Linked DNA regions of Ovis aries. The protein of the gene in region 1 interacts with the protein of each later gene in a biochemical or structural test. Links are inferred from orthologs where the notes say so. Each region holds a gene or a part of one and is shown in the gene's direction. Other genes may lie near its edges.

Region 1 (12,009 bases):
GCAGCAAGACCCATTTGGTTCAGAGGTTAAAGCGTCTGCCTGCAATGCAGGAGACCTGGGTTCGATTCCTGGGTTGGGAAGATCCCCTGGAGAAGGAAATGGCAACCCACTCCAGTATTCTTGCCTGGAGAATCCCGTGTACAGAGGAGCCTGGTGAGCTGCAGTCCCCGGGGTCGCAAAGAGTAGGACATGTCTGAGCGACTTCACTCACTCACTTAAGACCCATTTCTAGATAAGGAAATTGCAACCCACTCCAGTATCTTTGCCTGGAAAAATCCCATGGACAGAGGAGCCAGGTGAGCTACAGTCCATGGCGTTACAAATAGTTAGACACGACTAATGACTAAGCACTACACGTTATTCCCATCATAAACAACAAGGACAAAGATCCATTTCAGACTTCTCAACTTCTGATCTTCAGAACCGTGAGATAATAAATTTGTGTTGTTTTAAGCCATTAAGTTTGGGATAATTTTTTAAGCAGCCATAGGAAACTAGTACAGTGAGATTGTAGAGAAAACTGTATGGTCATTTCTTGGTGGTATCTATTATCTAGCAAAATCAATCAATGAAACCCTATGTTTCAGACATGGGGTAATTTCAATTGAAAGAGCCAGAAAATTTGCTAAGATAGTCTGTCTTATTTAGCGTATCAGCATGTCAATGATAACACGTTATTGAAACCAAATTATCAATAGCCACTTCTATACAGTATCGAGTGCTGACTCTGTGCCAAGCCCTGAATGGGGAGCTGGGCTAGGATCCTGCCTTAGAAGACTGGGAAGTTGGCAGCAGTGCCTCTCTTTTCCCATTGGTTCCCAGCCTCCCCCAACACACCTCCTCTGTGGTGTGCTCCAGATTTATTGCTTCAAGTTAAGTATTATTTTGTTTTTTGATATACAGATTTGGTTCTTTTCTGTAATTTAATTTCTGGTTATTGATATGGTCTGGTGAGACATTGTTTTCATACTTCAGTCCTTTAAGATCTTTTCTGTTTTTTTTTTTTTTTTTTAGATGTGTGGACCATTTTTAGAGTCTTTATTGAATTTGTCACAATATTGCTTCTGTTTTATGTTTTGGGGCTTTTTTTTTTTTTTTGGCCATGAGGCATGTAGGATCTTAGCTTGCCTGCTGCTGCTGTTGTTGTGTCCAACTCTGTGCGACCCCAGAGATGGCAGCCCACCAGGCTCCCCCATCCCTGGGATTCTCCAGGCAAGAACACTGGAGTGGATTGCCATTTCCTCCTCCAATGCATGAAAGTGAAAAGTGAAAGAGAAGTCACTCAGTCATGTCCGACTCTTAGCGACGCCATGGAGTGCAGCCCACCAGGCTCCTCCGTCCATGGGATTTGCCAGTCAAGAGTACTGGAGTGGGTTGCCATTGCCTTCTCCGCTTAGCTCACCTACCAGGAATCAAACCCACATCCTCTGCATTGGAAGGCGAAATCTTAACCATTGGACCAACAGGGAAGGTCCCTCTCCAGTTCTTTGGACATGGTTTCCTTTAGTTCTTTGAACATATTTAAAATAGCTGATGTAAAGTCTTGGTATAGTAAACCCAATGTTCTTGCTTCCTTAGTGGTGGTTTATATTGACCTCTACTTCTGTGTATGGGCCATATTTCCTTGTTTCTTGACATGTCTCATGATTGTTTTGTAAAAAAAAAAAAAAAAAAATTAGACTTTTTAAGTACAAGCATGTGACAAACTCTGGACATCAAATCCCTTCCTTCCTCAGAGTTTATTGTTGTTGTTACTGTTTTGTGATGCTGTTGCTGTTTGTTTGGGGACTTTCCTGAGCTAACTGCACACGGTGGTTAGTCTCTTTTGTGGCATGACCACGGATGTCTGTGCTCAGCTTCCCCTACAGTTTTCTAATGACAGGACAGACGTTTCCTTGGGTGCCTACAAGTAGTGAGTTTGCCAGCCTTGGACAAGGGGCTTTTTGTGAGACTTAGGGCATGTGTTTCACTGCCCTGCCCTGCTCTTTACAACTTTGCCCTGGCCTCCACTTTGTGCTGACATGGAGCTCCCAGAGGTCAAAGTCAGTCCTCAGTGAGGGCCCGGGGCTTTCCCAGCACGGGAAATGTGCAGAGCCTCTGTCGTGCACATAGTCAAGTGTATGGCTTTCCAGATCCCTAGGAATATCTCAGAGATTTTCAAACTCTCCTTGGTTTTCCTTCTAAGATTCTCATTGGCTTGTGGTATGCCCCTATTATTACTACTGACTTAAGCAGCTACAATGTTGTATAATAGTCACAATCTTTTTTTTTTTTTTTTTTTGACAAATACTTTCAAGGAAAAGGCTGTTGACACTGAGGAAGTTCTGAATCAGGCCAAAGAAACTCAGTCCTTGGGAGTGGGGTTTTCCTGAGAACCTCCAGTCAAATAATGACAGTTATCTGGGGACAGGGCTTGGGAGTAGCTCCAACTCTGTTCTGCCCCCTCCTGAGGCCTGTTAGCCTGCTGGTTTTCCCCACAATTGTGGGTATTTTCAAGGCTTCCATGGAGCTGTGGAGAGGGGATGAGAGGGCAAGTTAAAAACCTCACAGAACTCAGGGCTCTTGCTGAGATTTGGCTGTTGCTCTTGGATAAAAACTCCCTGGACTGTTATCAGCCTTTGGTTCACTTCTAGAGTTCTGAAACGACATTGATTTTGACATTCTGGCCAGTGCTTGTTTCTTTTTTTGTTTTGTTTTTAATGGAGGAAGGGGTTTCGGAAGGTCTTTACTCTGTCATTCCTACTGACATCTTGCAGTGCTTTTGACAAACAAAACAAATGAAAACGAAACTAGCTTTAAAAAACAGCATGGTCTTTGGAACATAGTTAGCCCCTGTTCTTTTGTCATCTTGACAGGTCAGACTGTGACTGCACTTTATATTCAGCAATGCGTTCCGTATTTTGTTTGGAGCAACAGACACGTCAAAAGAGAGTAACCAAGATCCTGAGATACCTAGAAACATAGGCAAATAAGATACCATTAAAGAAACAAATTGGACATTTAACCCTAAAAAGTCAGGATGACTGTTTTAAATTTTTGTTTTTGAAGAGCGGTCATTGGGAAAAGGATTAGACTAATCTGTGTGGTTTCATAAAATAGATACAACTATGATGAAAATAAGAAAAAAATTCTGACTTGTAGAGTGGTCCAGAAATGAAACTTGCCATGAGGTAGTCAGCTCCTTGTCATTATAAACATCTGAAATAAAGGTTGAACTACTTGACAGGATGCAGTTGTAGGTAGACATGGAATCCCATAAATTCTCTTCCAGCTTAAAGTCTGATTTTTTTAAAAAAAGATTTAATTAGTTGAGGTCTAATTTCCTAAACTTCCCATCTGAAGATATTATGTGTGACAGGCACACTCTCTTGATCCAACTATGTTCATTTAAATTTGGATTCTTTTTGTCTTTCTCATAATTGCTACCATTATTCTTTAAGCTTACATAATTTTAATAGAATTTGTTTTTGTTTTTCAGTGGATAAATCATGTCCAGTTCTTTGCAATTCCATGGACTGCAGCACACCAGGTTTCCTTGTCTTTCACTATCTCTTGGAGTTTGCTCAAATTCATGTCCATTGAGTCGATGATGCTATACAATCATCTCATTCTCTACCACCCTCTTCTCCTTTTGCTTTCAAACTTTCCTAGCATCAGAGCCTTTTCCAATGAGTCAGCTCTTTGTATCAAGTGGCCAAAGTATTGGAGTTTCAGTTTCAGCATCAGTCCTTCCAATGAATATTCAGGGTTGATTTCCTTTAATCTCCTTGCAATCAGAGGGACTCCCAAGAGTCTGCTCCAGCACCACAGTTCAAAAGCATCAATTTTTCAGCAGTCAGCCTTCTTTTTGGCCCACCTCTCACATCCGTACATGACTAATGGAAAAACCATAGCTTTGACTATACAGACCTTTGCTGGCAAACTGGTGTCTTTGCTTTTTAATAGGCTGTCTAGGTTTGGTATAACTTTCCTTGCAAATGTCCAACTCTGTGACCCCATGGACTGTAGCCTGCCAGGCTCCTCTGTCCATGTGATTTCCCAGGCAAGACTACTGGAGTGGGTTGCCATTTCCTCCTCCAGGGGATCTTCCTGACTCAGGGATCAAACCTGTGGCTCCTGCTGTGTCTCCTGCATTGCAGGCAGATTCTTTACTGCTTAACCACCTGAGAGGCCCTAATAGACTTTTAAAGTGAAAGTGATAGTTGCTCAGTCATGTCTGACTCTTTGCAGCCTCGTGGACTATACAGTCCATGGAATTCTCTAGGCCAGAATACCAGAGTGAGTAGCCTTTCCCTTCTCCAGGGGATCTTCCCAACCCAGGGTTCAAACCCAGGTCTCCCACATTGCAGGCAGATTCTTTACCAGCTGAGCCACCAAGGGAAACCCAAGAATACTGGAGTGGGTAGCCTATCCCTTCTCCAGTGGATTTTCCTGACCCAGGAAATGAAATACTTTATGCGTTATCAAATTGAGTAAATAATAAGAACATAAGTAAAAGTATAATTGAGATATAATTATGTTATGGAGAATGAAAGTAGATTTCCTCTTCTAATGGGTACACGGCATTTTTGTTAGAAATTCAGGTTTTTGTTGATGTCTTTATTTAAATATGATGTTTCTATTAACATAGTCAGGAAAACATAACACAAAAGCTCATGTGCCTAAGGCCTGAATTTCAGGGTCAGGGTAATATAAAGAAAATATAAACAAAAGCTGAGTAGCTTAGGTATTTCGGACCAAGTAGGATAGAGCACAGGTTAAGACATTTTATTTCTCTGACATAGGTGTCTGTCTTTTATCAGATTGAGACCAATTTTTTCTTCTCCCAAATGGCAAACAACAAGCTTGGGGATGTTGCAACAGACATTTTTTTCGCTAAGGATGTGTAGTTCTGTGTACAAACAACAGTCATAGTTTCCTTAGTTATGATGACGAAGTACAAGCACGTGTAGCATCGTGACATGTACGTCTTCCCCTGTGGGTTCACAGGCTGCCGCGTGGACATTTTCCAACATCGTGCGTTTTCAGATGTGGATGTTGCCAGAGTTATCGCACCAGATGCTTTCGTGTGTCGAACCATCTGCACCTATCACCCCAGCTGCCTTTTCTTCACATTCTATACAAATGCGTGGAAGACAGACTCACAGAGGTCAGTAGGCGTGGGTCACGTTTGCTACTGTTTTGGCATCATTTTCATTTTATACTTTGAGTTTTTCCCAAGTTTTGTTCATTTCCCTCAAAACACTTGAACTCATAGAATGAACTTATGGTTACCAGAGGGGAAAGTGGCGGGGGAGAGGGATAGTTTGGGACTTTGGGGTGGACATGTACACACTGCTATATTTAAAGTGGATAACCAACAAGGACCTACTGTATAGCACCGGGAACTCTGCTCAACGCTATATGGCAGCCTGGTTGGGAGGGGAGTTCGGAGAAGAAGCATATATGTATATGTATGGCTGAGTCCCTTTGTTGTCCACCTGAATCTATCACAAGATTTTTAATTAGCTATACTCCAATATAAAATAAATTTTTTTAATTAAAAACAAAACAAAACAAAACAAAAAACACTTGAACTCATAGTTTAAATAGAGGCTCTTCTGCCAGGTGCGGATTAGTTAAGAGATTAGCAGACTTTCCTACCCATCTTCTCTTACTTAAACAGACCATCCAATCAATGAAACAATAGCCATGGGTACCTTTCCTACTAATCTTAATGTTTTGTATTAGCTTGAAGTAAACCACTCACTCGGAGCATATCCTTTAAGCTCCTTTGTTCTGACCCCAGTGTTTCAGAAACTAGAGCCCTGTTTATCCTGATGAAGGTTCCGGTTCCATCTCTTGACCCATAGATAACCTGTCCTTTTCTTTACACACGAGATGGAGCTAAGAGAAGGGTATCAGGTTATGATAGCATCAGCACCATAAATCCCCAGAATCTGTTCTTTCTTCTTTTTTTTTTAAATTAGAAGGTAGAACTTTACCTTTCTCCTCTTTTCGGGCTATCTGTGCCTGTAAGTTTTCTTCAGAGGGAGATGTGGCTTGATTTACATTTAATCTCTGTAATTCACTAGAGTCCTGTAGTCTGATGTTCTTTGGAGGGAATTTCTCAGAAGAATAAAATTTGCAGGGGGCGGGGTTTGATATGAGGTGTTCTTGTATTTGCCTTTAATGGGGTTTTCTTTCTTTCTCTTGCCCTTTTTTTTTTTTTTTTTGACCATAGAAACGTTTGTTTCCTCAAGACTTCCCAAAGTGGGAGCCCGAGTTCCCCTACTCCTCAGGAAAATGCCATCTCTGGATACAGCCTTCTAACCTGCAAACAAACTCTGCCTGGTAATGCGATTTGATAAAAAAATATTACACAAAATGTGATCCATTCTATGATCTTCTAACAAGCCTCAGTGTTCCAGAAACTTGTGTATGTGTGGCTTATCATTTGCATTTTCTATCTTTTTTACATTTGTCCTAGGCACAGAGCCCTGCCACTCCAAAATTTACCCGCAAGTTGCTTTTGAAGGAGAAGAGCTGCATGCGACCTTCGTTAAAGGAGTGGATGATTGCCAAGAGACCTGTACAAAGATGATTCGCTGTCAGTTTTTTACTTATTCTTTATTCCCAGAAGACTGTAGAGGAGAGAAGTTAGTGAATGCTTATTTTTCAAAAACAGTTGGCAGATAATTTCCTGGGCTTTCACCCTCTGAGGTTTACTCTCATGCTGATCGTCTTGTCTAGGTGTAAGTGTTCCTTACGCTTGTCTTTGGATGGCTCACCAACTAACATTACTTATGGGACGCGAGCAAGCTCTGGTTATTCTTTGAGGTTGTGTAAACGTGGGGACAACCGTGGTGAGTAAATCTCACTTTTTTCATAAAACTGTAGAGGGATGTCTGAGTTGTTTAGATACCTTTTTAAATCTTCTATAATGGAACTATGTGTCTTGTTTTCCTTAACTGAAGGGGACTGTGATTCACCCTCTGATCCCAACCATTAACTTCAATGCTCTCTTTTTAGTCTGTACCACAAAAAGGGGACGCATTGTTGGAGGAACAGATGCTTCTTGGGGAGAGTGGCCCTGGCAGGTCAGCCTGCAAGTGAAGCTGAGAGCTCAGAGCCACCTGTGCGGAGGGTCAATCATTGGACGACAGTGGGTCTTAACTGCTGCCCATTGCTTCGATGGGTAAGGTTTGGCTGCATCTTATCTGGAGTTGTATCTAGCCTCTTTGTTTTGAAGACTCTATAATCAATTTCTACATCATTGTGTCAGTTTATTAATATCCATCCCTCTACAAAGTTACAATAGCTTTTGGTGGTCAAAACTTTGGAGATTTTCTGTCTCAGCAACTTTCCCAGGTAACTCAGGGATAAAGAATCCGCCTGCCTCCAGGGAAGGTTCGATCCCTGGGTTGGAAAGCCTCCTTGGAGGAGGAAATGGCAACCTGTTCCAGTATTTGTGGCTGGAAAATTCCATGGACAGAGGAGCCTGGTGGGCTCCATGGGGTCGCAGAGTTGGACATGACTGAGCGCCCATGCACGCCACTGTTAACTGTAGTCACCATGCTGTATGTTATATCCCCAGAACTTATTTATCCTATAACTTTGCTCTACATAGTAATTTTAGACTTATTTTGCATATATCCATATTCAAAGAGTTAATTTAAATTTTCACACATTCCCAAAATATACATATAATTTAAATAGTGCTGAGGTTCCTCTCATTTCCCCTATTAGAGGCATTACGTAAAAACTGGGTTTTCCTCTTGGTTGGATGTCAAAAGACACAACCAAGCCAAAAACTGGGAGAAGGAAGGATTTATTATTGCAGTGAGTAAGGAGAACACTGGGGATCTTTCCCAAAGAAATTGTATCCCCAAACAACAGAACTGGAGAAGTTTTAAGCTAAGGGTACACGCATATTATTGAAGGGCCTTGGCCTGAGTTCAGGCCTTGGTTGATTGAAGTCATGAGGGTCAAAAAAAGTCAACATCACCATATCTTAGGTTCCAGTTGATCCAGTGGTTGAGTGCTTCTGGCTAATCTTTGCCATTGAAAGATACCTAGGAGTCTTTACAGCTGATCCATAATCTTTGCTATTGTTACTTCTCTAACGTGTAATAGTCCTTTGTCTCTGCATTCTTTTATTCCCTTTAAGATCATTAATTACTGAGACGTATTCAAGGACAGGACTTTCCTGTGGTTTAGCCATAAAGAATCTGCCTGCAATGCAAAAGACGTAGGTTTGATCCCTGGTTGGGGAGAATCCCCTGGAGGAGGTCATGGCAACCCACTCCAGTATTCTTGCCAGGAAAACACTATGGACTGGCGGGCTATAGTCCATGGGGTTGCAAAAAGTCCAACACGATTGAAGCGACTGAGTACATTCAAGGACTAGCATTGTGGCCAGGCTTAGATCACAAAATGGCTTAAGCTAAAAATGGTTTCTTTTATATCAAGAAAACCATGACTGGATCTCTTTCTCTGGGGACCCACTATCCTATCTGGTTACAGAGAGACTTGTATACAGTCATTCTTTCTTGCCAGTTCTGAATTTCATGGAAGTGATTGCTTTCAACTTGGTGAATGATTTTCCATGATAGACTGTGAGATATCTCCCAAACAGTTTATCTCAGAAAGAGACAGCAACATTCTTCTATATTCACTTACAGAAAACATGACATAATTATACACTTCCCAATATTTTTAACTAAATCTTCAGAGTTCAGCACTGCTGCTGTTGGTGCTAAATTGCAAGGAGAAATTAGGTATGTAAACATATGAACTGGACATGGAACAACAGACTGGTTCCAAATAGAAAAAGGAGTACGTCAAGGCTGTATATTGTCACCCTGCTTATTTAACTTATATGCAGAGTATATCATGAGAAACAATGGGCTGGAGGAAGCACAAGCTGGAATCAAGATTGCCAGGAGAAATATCAATAACCTCAGATATGCAGATGATACCACCCTTACGGCAGAAAGTGAAGAAGAACTAAAAAGCTTCTTGATGAAAGTGAAAGAAGAGAGTGAAAAAGTTGGCTTAAAGCTCAACATCCAGAAAATGAAGATTGTGGCATCTGGTCCCATCACTTCATGGGAAATAGATGGGGAAACAGTGGAAACAGTGTCAGACTTTATTTTGGGGGGCTCCAAAATCACTGCAGATGGTGACTGCAGTCATGAAATTAAAAGACGCTTACTCCTTGGAAGAAAAGTTATGACTAACATAGACAGCATTTTGAAAAGCAGAGACATTACTCTGCCAACAAAGGTCCGTCTAGTCAAGGCTATGGTTTTCCAGTGGTCATGTATGGATGAGAGGGTTGGACTGTGAAGACGGCTGAGTGCTGAAGAATTGATGTTTTTGAACTGTGGTGTTGGAGAAGACTCTTGAGAGTCCCTTGGACTGCAAGGAGATCCAACCAATCCATTCTAGAGGAGATCAGCCTTGGGTGTTCTTTGGAAGGAATGATGCTGAAGCTGAAACTCCAGTACTTTGGCCACCTCATGAGAAGAGTTGACTCATTGGAAAAGACTCTGATGCTGGGAGGGATTGGTGGCAGGAGGAGAAGGGGACGACAGAGGATGAGATGGCTGGATGGCATCACCAACCCGATGGATGTGAGTTTGAGTAAACTCCGGGAGATGGTGATGGACAGGGAGGTCTGGCGTGCTCCTATTCATGGAGTTGCAAATGGTTGGACATGACTGAGCGACTGAACTGACTGAACTGAAACATATGTTATATGTAGTATTTTCTTCCCAGTTCTTTTTTGAAAGGTAAAGAGAAAGGAGAAAAGAGCAATATGAAAGGCCAGTCTTTCTGGTTTCAAATCAGTTCTTATTTTTCCCTCCTAGGCTTCTCTTGTCAAATATTTGGCGCATTTATGGTGGCATTTTAAATCTGTCAGAGATAACAACAGAGACATCTTTCTCACAAATCAAAGAGATTATTGTCCACCCAAATTATAAAACCTCAGAAGGCAGTCATGACATTGCCTTAATAAAACTTGAGGCTCCTTTGAATTTTACTGGTACGTAGCATATTTAAGGAGACATGTATTGCTGAATTGTGTTGGTTTAAATTTTCAGATCAGTTTCAAGGAGGGGTCGGAATCTAAGGAGACTGTCTTTATTTTCTGGTTAGTAAAGTTGCGGGAAAGATGAGTATTGCCAGGAAAAATAATTTGAAACTTGACATAAAATGTCTTCTACTTAAGGGCCAAGATGTGTTACTTAGTTCTTTCAGGAAGGAATACAGCTGCATATTATACTATTGAAATAATAACAGACATGGAAGGGAGCATGACTTCCTTTGACAAGAGTAGCAGAATTAGCATTGCCTTGGGCCTAGGCATATTGGGAGTATCTGAGGGGCAAGCATATTCAAATATTAATTTCCAGGTAAAACCTGAGTAGGGAAGAGACTGTTGGACAAGGCAATTCTGGGAGACAATAGCTTTGTGGTTGGACGGGGTGCGTTTGGACATATAAAAAGCTCCGCAGTTGCTGGATGCCTGCTGGGTCTGCTAAAGATTCTGTGATCTCAGGGCAGGATGTCCTTGACTCCAGTTACCCCCTAATAGGATTGTTATTAAAATCAGTTAATAAGTTAAAGTGCCTAAAAATCATGCTTAAAACAGTGTAGACCCCTCTGCTATTACTATTGAGGGAATCATACATAAGAACTTGTAAAGGCTCTTGACAGTAAATTTGGGTTCGGAATTTTAAAATTTAACACCCAAAATGACTGTGATTGCTGAGATATTTTCTTGAGTCCCTGACCTTGGAAACTCAGTGGAAAGTAAAAGGTGTATTCTACTTGGTGCTACTCTAGAGAAAGAGAATATAGGGGCGGGGAGAGTATGTATTTTTAAAGTCAATGTTCATAACTAAATCTAGCCAAACTCTAATGTAAAAATTACCTTTCAGATTTGCAAAAAGCAATATGCCTCCCTTCCAAAGATGATACAAAACCAGTTTACACTGACTGTTGGATAACTGGATGGGGCTTCACAGAGGAAAAAGGTACCACGTGGCATTTTATATGTTAAAACACAGGAGTGGATTTGTTTCATTGGCCTCTAAAGTTATATCCAGACTCGTGATTTTTTCCATAACTATTCATTCCCACATATGTATTCAGTAATTCTTGAGAAGACAGTTTTGCTTGGTCCTGGAAAAATTCCTAGGGTAATCTCTTAAGAGTCTTTGTTTGACTTCTTCTAAAGGATTGGTCCCATGCAGGACAAACAACTTCCCCAAGCCCATCCTGTCCTCAGAATTAATAGAGTTCCCATCTCCCAAGGCCACTGTTATCCCTTGGATTAATAACCAGGAGTATAGGCAGACATGTCATCTCTCTTTCTGGAAGGCTTTTAAATATTTTTTTAAAACACATCCTTCCTGCAACCTGGTAAAGCCTGTGAACCTCTTCTCTAATGCTTTTATACCCATAAATAAAACACATAGGATTACAAAGAAAACCAATGACACTGCAACTTATCAGAATACTTTGAAAATGACAGTGTTAATAGCTCAGTCCTGTCAGACTCTTTGAGAACCCTTGGACTGTAGCCTGCCAGGCTCCTCTCTGTCCATGGGATTCTCCAGGCAAGAGTACTAGAGTTGATTGCCATGTTCTCCTCTGGGGGATCTTCCTGACCCAGGGATCACACCTGGGTCTCCTGCACTGCAGGTGGACTTTTTACCATCTGAGCCACCAGGGAAGCCCTTATTTCTTAACAATCAATGTAAATCAACTTTATTATAAACTGTATAGTTCATTCCTGCCAAATTGAGAACTATAGATTTTTAAAAACCTTTTTAAATTGCAGTATAGTTGATTTACAATGTTGTGTGACTCGCTGTTGCATAGCAACATGAATCAGTTATACATATATCCACTCTTAGATTCTTTGCCCATACAGCTCATTGCAGAGTATTGAGTAGCATTGCCCATACTATACAGTAGGGCCTTATTGGTTATCCATTTTATGTATAGCAGTGTGTA
Region 2 (12,009 bases), on another chromosome or scaffold:
ACCATCTTTGTGAGGAGTTCTTGATGTAGAAAATGCTTGTGTTATACTATGCAAAAAGAGGCCATAAAATTGAATAAACATTCTGTTCTCGATCATGTTATTAAAAAGTACAGAAAAAAGTACTGAAAAGAAATGTCTCAGATTATTCATAGCTTTTAGCTGATATCACAGTGGGCTGTTTATTGTAATCTTCCTTATTTCCTGTATTAGTTTTATATGCTGGTGGGGAGGAAGAACTGAACCGTATTAAAATAAATCAAAACTGACACTATGATTTCTCTCCTACTCAGACACTTATTTCTGGATGCCATATCCTCTCCCTGATTTCACTAGCACATAACCCATGTTAGACTTACTTGAAAGGAGTACCAATTCATGCTGCTCTTGTCTTTGTCAGCTTTTCTTCTCACTCTGTTTTTCTGTAAAATTCCCTTATTCTTACTGATGCAGGAACAGTCCAGTACTCCACCACATAATGCATGTCAAAGAGTTGCTGTCAGGAGAGAACCACTCATTCTCAATGTGTATATCTAGTCCTCTTGGTAGTCCCAGTTCTTTCTGTAAATTAGTCAACATACTAGAATGGATGTGTTTATGCTAAGGGTCCAAGGAAAGCCACAATAGAATAAGCTACATCCCTTTACTTGCTAAACTAATCTGGAATATTGTGAGAATTTCAAATTTACTTTTAAGAGGTGACGCTTTACTTATTTTTGCATTTAAAGAGAGCGATTTGGTCACTCAAGGCAGCCCTAGTGGAAGCCGCTGATTTATTGGAAATCAGCTTACCATAATGAATTTGCAATAGCCAGTCTCTTAGTGACCCATTTGCCAAATTGCTAATTTGTTTTACAATTTTAGTCTTGCCTTGGCTTTGCATGTTTAGTCCTATTTGGGTACATGTCCATTCCAGGTTGGTTTCATATTTCAGATACCAAACATTTCATAAATCCTTTGTTTCCTCATGTGAATGGTTGTGATTTCTGTCATATACCGTTCATTTTGCCCTATCCCCATGGCTGCTGTCAATGTTCTTCCCTGCCTCTGCTCAGATAAATACACTTCAAGGATCTATGGGTGCACATTCAGGAATTTTCCTTTGACAAAAAGTCCTAGAAAGGTCAAGGAATATGTAGATGTTTAAGATTTATGATACAAATTGACAGATCATCAAATGATTTGCAATTATGTCAATTTTCATTCACACCATGTGGATGTAAGACACTGGCTGATGGTCTTGACTTGACCTATTCAAATACTACCAGCAGTGACTGAGATTCCATGTTTCCCGCACCTGACCAGGTGTCATCTCTGTTTTTTATCCTTGACAAGATGCAAGGTTAAACATGATATTCTATAGTTTTTTAAATGTGCTTATCCTTGGTTATTAATGAAGGTCAACTTGTTCAGGAGTAATGATCTTTTTAAATATAAATTTATTTATTTTAACTGGAGGTTAATTACTTTACAATATTGTATTGGTTTTGCCATACATCAACATGTATCCACCACAGGTATACACGTGTTCCCCATCCTGAACCCCCCTCCCTCCTCCCTCCCCATACCATCCCTCTGGGTCGTCTCAGTGTACCAGCCCCAAGCATCCAGTATCATGCATTGAACCTGGACTGGCGACTCATTTCATATATGATATTATACATGTTTCAATGCCATTCTCCCAAATCATCCCACCCTCTCCCTCTCCCAGAGTCCAAAAGACTGTTCTATACATCTGTGTCTCTTTTGCTGTCTCGCATACAGGGTTATCGTTACCATCTTTATAAATTGCATATGTATGCGTTAGTATACTGTATTGGTGTTTTTCTTTCTGGCTTACTTCACTCTGTATAATAGGCTCCAATTTCATCCACCTCATTAGAACTGATTCAAATGTATTCTTTTTAACAGCTAAGTAATACTCCATTGTGTATATGTACCACAGCTTTATCCATTCGTCTGCTGATGGACATCTAGGTTGCTTCCATGTCCTGGCTATTATAAACAGTGCTGCAATGAACATTGGGGTACACGTGTCTCTTTCAATTCTGGTTTCCTCTGTGTGTGTGCCCAGCAGTGGGATTGCTGGGTCATAAGGCAGTTCTATTTCCAGTTTTTTTAAGGAATCTCCACACTGTTCTCCAATGTGGCTGTACTAGTTTGCATTCCCACCAACAGTATAAAAGGGTTCACTTTTCTCCACACCCTCTTCAGCATTTATTGCTTGTAGACTTTTGGATTGCAGCCATTCTGACTGGCATGAAATGGTACTTCATTGTGGTTTTGATTTGCATTTCTCTGGTAATGAGTGATGTTGAGCATCTTTTCATGTGTTTGTTAGCCATCTGTATGTCTTCTTTGGAGAAATGTCTATTTAGTTCTTTGGCCCATTTTTTGATTGGGTCTTTTATTTTTCTGGAATTGAGCTGTAAGTGTTGCTTATATATTTTTGAGATTAGTTGTTTGTCAGTTGCTTCATTTGCTATTATTTTCTCCCACTCAGAAGGCTGTCTTTTCACCTTGCTTATAGTTTCCTTTGTTGTGCAGAAGGTTTTAAGTTTAATTACATCCCATTTGTTTATTTTTGCTTTTATTTCCAGTATCCTGGGAGGTCGGTCATAGAGGATCCTGCTGTGATGTATGTCAGAGAGTGTTTTGCCTATGTTCTCCACTAGGGGTTTTATAGTTTCTGGCCTTACGTTTAGATCTTTAATCCATTTTGAGTTTATTTTTGTGTATGGTGTTAGAAAGTGTTCTAGTTTCATTCTTTTACAAGTGGTTGACCAGTTTTCCCAGCACCACTTGTTAAAGAGATTGTCTTTACTCCATTGTATATTCTTGCCTCCTTTGTCAAAGATAAGGTGTCCATAGGTGTGTGGACTTATCTCTGGGCTTTCTATTTTGTTCCATTGATCTATATTTCTGTCTTTGTGCCAGTACCATACTGTCTTGATGACTGTGGCTTTGTAGTAGAGCCTGAAGTCAGGCAGGTTGATTCCTCCAGTTCCATTCTTCTTTCTCAAGATTGCTTTGGCTATTCGAGGTTTTTTGTATTTCCATACAAATTGTGAAATTATTTGTTCTAGCTCTGTGAAAAATACCATTGGTAGCTTGATAAGGATTGCATTGAATCTATACATTGCTTTGGGTAGTATATTCATTTTCACTATATTGATTCTTCTGATCCATGAACATGGTATATTTCTCCATCTATTAGTGTCCTCTTTGATTTCTTTCACCAGTGTTTTATAGTTTTCTATATATAGGTCTTTAGTTTCTTTAGGTAGATATATTCCTAAGTACTTTATTCTTTTCATTGCAATAGTGAATGGAATTGTTTCCTTAATTTCTCTATTTTCTCATTATAGTAATTATCTTATTAACTTCTCCAAAAGAGCTGGTTATGTCTTTGGTTCATTTCCTTAGTGTTGGGCTTTCTGTGTATAAGAATACTGACCCTACATCATATTTTTTCCAGTTTACCTTTTTACCTTATTCACTGTGACATTTGAGAGTCAGTTTTCATTTTTGTCTAGTTAGATTTTGACATTTTCCCCCTTCCTTTAGGTTCTTTCCTCTGCTTTTCATCTATGAAAGGCCTCATCATCCTAAGAACTGATGAATGTTTTTTATACCTTTCTAGCTTATTTAGTTTAAATGTTTTAGGCATTGGAATTTACATTACTAAGTAGTATTCTATACTTTAAAAACAAAACTTGGACAGGATAGACTTAAGCAGGGAAGACTTCTGATAAGAACAGCAATATAGATGCAATTTTGAGGTTCTTGAACACAAGATATTACTGCTGCTGCTAAGTCAGTTCAGTCATGTCCGACTCTGTGCGACTCCATAGACAGGAGCCACAAGGCTCCCCCGTCCCTGGGATCCTCCAGGAAAGAACACTGGAGTGGGTTGCCATGACCAGGTCTACTTTATTCCTCCCCTCTAGACCTTGAATAGAATTGAGCCAACAGCTGTGAGTTTTGTCATATATTGTCAACTTTCCTAGGCAACATCATATTAATCAACTGTGGCTCAGAGGTAAAGAGTCCACCTGCAGTGCAGGAGACTGGGGTTCAATCCCTGGGTCAGGAAGATCCCCTGGAGAAGGAAATGGTAACCCACCAATATTCTTGCCTGGGAAATCCCATGGACAGAGGAGTCTGGTGGGCTACAATCCATGGGGTTTCAATAGAGCTGGACACAACTGAGTGACTAAATAACAACAACAATGTCAGAAAACTGGATTAAAGTATACTCTCAAACTAAGCAACGAAATTCATGATCACCAATGGATATACTCTAAAACACTTTTTGGACTTCCCTGGCCAGCTTATACACGTCTGGAGTTTTACAAGTTATCAAATTTGTCTTATAAATTTTACTGTGCTTACCTAGAAAACGATGCCAGAAAAGGTAGAGGAGTAGTTTAGCTCTTCCTGTTCTCTGCTCTCCTCATCCTCCCCCCATTGTAATTCCTCCATGCTTTTCAAAAAACACAAAGAAAAAGGGAAGACTTATGTTATGGAATTATACTATCACTCCATAACTTAATTTTTTCAATAATGGTCAACCTTCCAGGAAACAGGTATGTATAATATATTCTTTTTGATAACTGTATAATATTATGCATATACACATTTAAATCCTAGAATGAAATGCTGAATAACTTAGCCTGAAAATTGAACCACGTTAACTACCTTTTAAATTTATATATATAATTTTAAAACATTTTATAAAGTATATTTTTCAAGTATATAAAGGCTGTAAGCTTTTTTAAAAAAAACTGTGCTTGCAATTTTGTTGAAGTCAGTGTATTGGCAAAAACCACACAATGACTTTTACTTTTTAAGTAAATACAGTACACGTATTCTAGACCAAAAAGAAAAAAATTAGGCCACAAATATTAACAGAAGGCAGTATTTATAATGATTAAAACTTGCTAGAGCTTAAAATAGTTTCTTAATATTAAAAAAAAAACCCTCAGAGAAGCAAGCTAGAAATCCAAAGAACTTTGCTAATCACATAATTTAATCCACATAATTTCTATAGCAGTTCAGTTCAGGTCAGTTCAGTCGCTTAGTCGTGTCTGACTCTTTGCGACCCCATGAATTGCAGCACGCCAGGACTCCCTGTCCATCACCAACTCCTGGAGTTCACTCAAACTCACATCCATCGAGTCGGTGATGCCATCCAGCCATCTCATCCTCTGTTGTCCCCTTCTCCTCCTGCCCCCAATCCCTCCCAGCATCAGAGTCTTTTCCAATGAGCCAACTCTTCGCATGAGGTGGCCAAAGTATTGGAGTTTCAGCTTTAGCATCATTCCTTCCAAAGAACACCCAGAACTGATCTCCTTTAGAATGGACTGGTTGGATCTCCTTGCAGTCCAAGGGACTCTCAAGTGTCTTCTCCAACACCACAGTTCAAAAGCATCAATTCTTCAGCACTCAGCTTTTTTCACAGTCCAACTCTCACATCCATACATGACTACTGGGAAAACCATAGCCTTGACTAGACGGACCTTTGTTGTCAAAGTAATGTCTCTGCTTTTGAATATGCTATCTAGGTTGGTCATAACTTTCCTTCCAAGGAGTAAGCGTCTTTAAATTTCATGGCTGCAATCACCATCTGCAGTGATTTTGGAGCCCCCCAAAATAAAGTCTGACACTGTTTCCACTGTTTCCCCATCTATTTGCCATGAAGTGATGGGACCAGATGCCATGATTTTAGTTTTCTGAATGTTGAGCTTTAAGCCAGCTTTTTCACTCTCCTCTTTCACTTTCATCAAGAGGCTTTTCTCTGATTCAAGCTTTGGTAGAACAAAAAGGTGTGTTTAAAGGAAATATTTAAGTTTTCTTCTTACTTGTCCTAGATTCTACATATTATGACTTGAGCCTTTGAATTTCTGGTGAATCTTGCAGTTGCTGAACAATAAAACTCAGGAAAATAGAAAAATTAAAATTATAGCATTGTTTTCTTTTCCCATTTAAAAAAGGAAATAAGCCCAATTGCCAAATATTTTAATGTGCATACAAGGTTTTGTTATCAAATATTTGTGCATTTTGAGGGTAACTCTCCTTCGTTCAGTACATAATTAAAATATCAAGATTCTCCCCTAAAAGCCCTTATGATAAAAATGTATGATTTATTACACAGCATTAATTAAGCTCCTATTTTGTGCTAATTCACTTTCCAGGTGGTAGCTGGAAAAAAGTATTCTATTGTGTTCATAGCAAGGGAAACCACATGTTCTAAGGGAAGTAATGAAGAGCTGACCAAGAGTTGTGAGATCAATAAACATGGTGTGAGTATAATGCAGCTGTCTTACTGATTCCCTGGAAATCTGTATGATGTTTTATGCTTATATATGTATCCCATGAATAACACTGTTTTCTCTTTTGCCTTCAATTTTCATGGATAGCTAATTCTAAACTGTGATGCTGATGTTTATGTGGTGCCTTGGGAGGAAAAAGTTTACCCTACTGTCAACTGTCAATCACCTGGACGGGTATGATTCTAATTGCAGTTGGTTTGGGTTAGCTATGCTCATTCTGAAAATCATATTTGGAGGTTGAAAATGAACCCCTATTTACATGAGTTGGAGAGGACTATCTTTTTTAAATGGGGAGAACACACATTTCTGTGCTGATCTCTCTTCTTATGGCTAGAAAGGGAGAGCAGCTGTCCCCTTAATCACTTCTCCGACAAGGCCAGTGTCCCGTGAGATCACAGGTTCTCTTAAGGAAGCACATCCAAGGAGCTTGGGAAAAATATAGGTCGCACACCCCACTCTACATTTCCTGAATCAAAAGCTATATTTTAACACAGTCCCCAGGAAAGTGATACCCATATGCAAGTTTGAGAAGCATTAGGTCGCATCATTTTTTTACTTCTTAGAAGAACCCTGGGAGGTAAGTAGTACTTTCCCTACTTTCAAGATTGAGACACTAAAAATTACAAAGATGCTAAAGTCCTAAAGTGGATAATAACTTCATCAAGTGCTTCCTCCATCTTAGACCCTGTACTGAGGACTTGACATTGAGACATATTTTTCTCCTGACAACCCTACGAGGCAGGTGATTTTATCATTCCTATTTTACATACAAGGAAAATGAAGCTAGTGGTGCTCAGATACAAATCTAGGTAAAATCAGAGCCTACTCTGTTCACCATCATACTGAGAACTACTAGGCGCTGGCTTGTTTGACCTCAAAGACCATGCTCTTTGAATCACCAAACACTGCCTCCAGCCACCACATTCTCACAGGTAGTAAGTGTGTAGGTAGAAATGACCCACAAATCCATAGCTTCAATACAAGTTGCCTCTGCTCCCTTTGTTCTGCATTTAGGTTTTTGCCATATGTAGGTATGTATATAGTTTAATACAAACATTATACAAAGGCTGTGTTTCAAGCTTGTGAACATATATATCCTGTGTTTCAATTCAACGGAGTGACTGTGGATATACGCTGCTTATATATTCCATTCTTAAAACCAGTTAAGATCTTTTTGGATAAAAAGCAGTAATGTGCTAATAGAAATAGTATCAATTAATAAATAATGCGCCATGACTTATAGAATCATAGGCTTAGAGAGTACCCTAAAGATTATGTAGTTAACCATCCAGTTTTTCCTGATTAAAAACTCTATTTTAGAGTATTATTAGGAACAAGAATCAATATCTCTAAATTATTAAGTCAATCAAAAGAGGAAAAAATTATTCATTTTCATCCTTTATGGAATATTAATGTATATAGCACTTAAAATCTGGCAAAGACATTCCCCATCGTAAACTGAGATAACATTGTCAGGCCCCCATCCCTTCTTTCTTCTTTGATAGTGTGGTTTTCACAGTAATGCATTCATTTTAATATTTCCTGTTTAGACCTTACTCATGAAAAGGCCTCCGGGTTTTTCACCTTTCCGATCAGTACAAGTGATGAAACCTGAAGAAAAAACAACTGTAAGTCTACCCCACTCTACCATGTCACCTGTACAAGATGAAGAGCAGGATTCAGGAAAAGAACAAGGACCCACTCATGGGCATGGCTGGGACCATGAAAAGCAAATAAAATTACATGGCCTTGGCCCTGGCCATAAACATGAGCATGAGCAAGGTCATGGGCGCCATAGGGGTCATGGTCTTGGCCATGGACATAAGCATGGTCTTGGCCATGGACATAAGCATGGTCATGGCCACGGAAAACATAAAAACAAAGGAAAAAACCATGGAAAGCAGTATGATTGGAGGACACACTATTTGGCAAGTTCTTATGAAGATAGCACTACATCCTCTGCACAGATGCGAGAGAAGACAGAGGAGACAACACTCCCTTCCCCAGCCCAGCCAGGTGTAGCCGTGACCTTTCCTGGCTTTCAGGACTCAGATCTCATTGCAACTGTGATGCCTAATACACTACCACCTCCCACAGAGAGTGATGATGACTGGATCCCTGACATCCAGATAGAGCCAAATAGCCTTGCATTTAAATTGATTTCGGATTTTCCAGAAACAACCTCCCCCAAATGTCCTGGTCGCCCCTGGAAGCCAGTTAATGGAGTGAATCCAACTGTGGAAATGGAAGAGTCTCATGATTTTGATCTCATTGATGCTCTTTCTTAATTTAGGCAGCCAGGGTTATTTCTTTAACATCTCATCAACCCCTGTCCCCATTGTCCAAAGATCCTCATATAATACACTAAAACCCATGAACATTCAGAACAGCCTAGAGAGAAATAAATGGTGAGACTCCCCATGGGAACAACATCAATCTCTATGGATGACATAAAACTTTGTGCAGAATTCTAACTCCTTTCTGAGCTCTCCTCCCAAGTTTTCTTACCTAGCACAGAAAATGGACAAACTAATATACTGTGGCCTACTGCAGTTGCTTTTCTGATAATGAATGTGTACCTTAAAATGTACATCATCAATTTTCATACAAAGATTCTTGACATTTGAATAAACTGTAACATCTGGTCCATATGTGGCAATAAGAGAAGTTAAGAGACTGAATGCTGAACTTCTTAATGGAGGGAAAAAAATAATAAAAACCTCCAGAGGTCAAAGAGGAACAAGAGAGAAAGACAGATTGGCCAAAGGGAGGACAGAGAAAATAAATTGACTTTCTGTTTCCAAAATGGGCTAGTAATCTCAGTTACTCCCATGTGACAAAACTATGCTGATAATTCTCTTTCTGGGTGAGAGTGTTTCTTGTAAGTCAGTAATTTCTGTTTACTCATTAACTATGCTTTGCAATAGGGCTTTCAAATAGGAGTTTTCTGTTTGTATGTTGCCAGCTTTAGAGTGAGTAACCCTTACTGTTCAATAGCTCTGAGTTTAATGATAAGGATGGAAGGCAGAAGTAATACAAAGGCTGGCCTGCTTGAGGAAATCTTTTTTTAATAATTGATAAGGGAATATCATGAGATGTGATGCAAATTTTGTTCAGAGATTTTGTGAGAAATTCTTTCTAGCCTTTATACTTGCATTTTCTTTTGCTATAACATTGAAGTATATGGACTTTTGCAGGAAAGAATAATATGATTATCTTTAATTTACTGATAATGTGAGGGAGGCATGTCTTTCACAACCCCTGCTGTGCTTTTGCCTAGGGAAATAGGGCTTTGGATACCTACACTCACCTGCGGATGCACGTCACTGTTTCTTCAATTTATTGGATGCATTTGAGCCACTGAGTTTTTATTTCATTCCAAATATTATCTGTACTTGCAAATAAAGTACCAGTGATCTCAGGAAAAGGTCTCATCTTGTCAATTAGTGGCTTCACCTTCCTCCCTTTGAACGATAACCTCAGATTAACAGAGTTTTACTATACTTACAGAGGCACGTAAGGTCCTGCGAGTACAAGGGCCGACCTCAAGAGGCAGGGGCAGAGCCAGCACCTCAGGGTGAGGTCAATTTACCGGCAGAATCTCCACGGTTGGCACAATAGACCCGACAACCTCTGTCAGCAGCCCTGCGTGGAAGGACAAGAAGATGGGGTAGAATTTAAATAGAGAAGAATGTCATTTTATCCCTCTGTGACTGAGTGAAATAAAGTTCCATCCTTATGTTCCCCTCCTGGTTAATTCACGCTGGTCTCCTTTCAGTCACAACCAACCTGCAGCCAAGTCAAGATGATCAGAGAGCCAGCACTAGGGCTTTGCCCTAGGGGCTCACAGTGCAGCCCTGGAGCATTCTTGTTCACTGAGGCAGGATCCCTTAGCTGGGGCTTCCCTATCACAGAGACCTTGTCATGGGTGCTCAATCAAGGGGTAGTGGGTCATGTTTCCACCATGGATCTAAGGACTCTCTCCCTTTCTTTCTTCCTTCTCCTCCTGATTCCCAACCCAATGCTGAGAGATTTTGTCTTATATTAGTTTTTTATGATCTAAATTATTACCAAAAAAGAAAAAAGTCTTTTGTTAATATATCTACCAACTTCTCATTATCAAAAAATACTGAGTCTCAAAAAAGTTGAAAGAAAATGTAAAATTATCTTTCTGATCTGGGTAAAAGAAAAGAAATAGAAAACCATTAGAATAAAAGATAAGAGATTTAGGATTTTCTGTAACAAACACGTATTGAAGCCTCCTTTCGTGGTGTAACTTAATCCTCACCACCACTCTGAGGTCTCCGTGATCACCTTTCCTCTACAATGAGGAAGCTGTAGCTCATAGAGCCCTTCCCAGAGTCACAGAGTTAATATGTGACAGAGCTGGTATTCAAACTCAGACCTTTGAACTTTATCACACTGTGTTATCACGGGGCTTTACAGTATTATCAATATTGTCATTACGAAAAACACATCAAGATAATTTCTGACTCTGGGATGATTATGATTTCACTCCAAAACCCTTATGAAATATTTCATTATATCTGGTGCTATTCTGAGTCTTGCTCATGATAAACTAGAATAGAGCCAAGCACAGGCATTAGCTATTTACCATAGTCAGTCCTGAGAAAAAGAAATATTTTTATTGTATCTTAAATGTTGAGTTTTTATTTAAGACATTTCCCTCCATTGTACTGTCCAGACTGAAGAGGCAGTCAACAAAAAGAAACTTGTGCAATCTTTTTAAAGAATTACAGAGTAAGATGAAGATGCCATCAAGATGGCAGAAGTGGGTGTGTCTTTTTTGTCAGTCTTAGTTTAAATACTTGGCAGCTCATCACATGTTTGAGGTGTCCTGAGTGCTCGGAGCATGTGTGTGGTGATTGGTGCTTCTACTCATCTTTAGTCGAGTTGGGTTCACATATTCAGCCTATATGCTTCCCTGATAGCTCAGTTGGTAAAGAATCCGCCTGTAATGCAGGAGACCCCAGTTCGATTCCTGGGTCAGGAAGAGCTGCTGGAGAAGGAATAGGCTACCCACTCCAGTATTCTTTTACTTCCCTTGTGGCTCAGCCAGTAAAGCATCCGTCTGCACTGCGGGAGACCTGGGTTCGATCCCTGGGTTGGGAAGATCCCCTGGAGTAGGGAAAGGCTACCCATTCTAGTATTCTGGCCTGGAAAATTCCATGAAGAAGTCCATAGTGTCGCAAAGAGTTGGATGTGACTGAGTGACTTTCGCTTCACTTCACTTCACTTCATGTTCAGCCTATGGGAGCCTCAAAGCAAAAAGAAGAGAAATACATTTCAAAAGACATGAATGCTTTCCCTTGAAGAGCTTACAATCCCTTTGGGAAACCAAGACAAAGCATAGGGAACAGATATTTAATCCAAGCAGCATCTTTGGGGAGCAGTGAACTTGACTAATGTGATGGGAAGATGTTGAAGAGGTGGAAGGACCAAAGTGGAGAGAGAAAATGAAGCCCAAGTGAGATGGTTCTTAAAAAAAAGTTTTATTGAAATATAGTTGACCTAACATGTTGCATTACTTTCAACTGTACAGCAAATGATTGACATGTGTATATACGAGTGCAAAGTCTCTCCAGTCATGCCTGACTCTTTGCGACCCTATGATTGTAGCCCACCGGTTTCCTTTGTCCGTGGAATTCTCCAGGCA

What was found.
Region 2: the proteins of plasma kallikrein (region 1) and KNG1 form a complex in vitro, tested with the Homo sapiens proteins (4 studies listed by BioGRID). The link is inferred for Ovis aries from reciprocal best matches to the Homo sapiens genes KLKB1 and KNG1.

Annotation. Positions count from the first base shown.
Region 1 is NC_056079.1:15,460,410-15,472,418, forward strand, and holds part of plasma kallikrein, read left to right. Parts: intron 1-4,989; coding exon 4,990-5,149; intron 5,150-6,223; coding exon 6,224-6,333; intron 6,334-6,469; coding exon 6,470-6,638; intron 6,639-6,732; coding exon 6,733-6,845; intron 6,846-7,011; coding exon 7,012-7,177; intron 7,178-9,854; coding exon 9,855-10,030; intron 10,031-10,928; coding exon 10,929-11,024; intron 11,025-12,009. UniProt on the Homo sapiens protein: Participates in the surface-dependent activation of blood coagulation. Activates, in a reciprocal reaction, coagulation factor XII/F12 after binding to negatively charged surfaces.
Region 2 is NC_056054.1:201,277,191-201,289,199, reverse strand, and holds the end of KNG1 (kininogen-1), read left to right. Parts: intron 1-6,194; coding exon 6,195-6,302; intron 6,303-6,419; coding exon 6,420-6,506; intron 6,507-7,882; coding exon 7,883-8,620; 3' UTR 8,621-9,842; coding exon of another isoform or gene 9,843-9,953; 3' UTR 9,954-10,071; downstream 10,072-12,009. UniProt on the Homo sapiens protein: Kininogens are inhibitors of thiol proteases.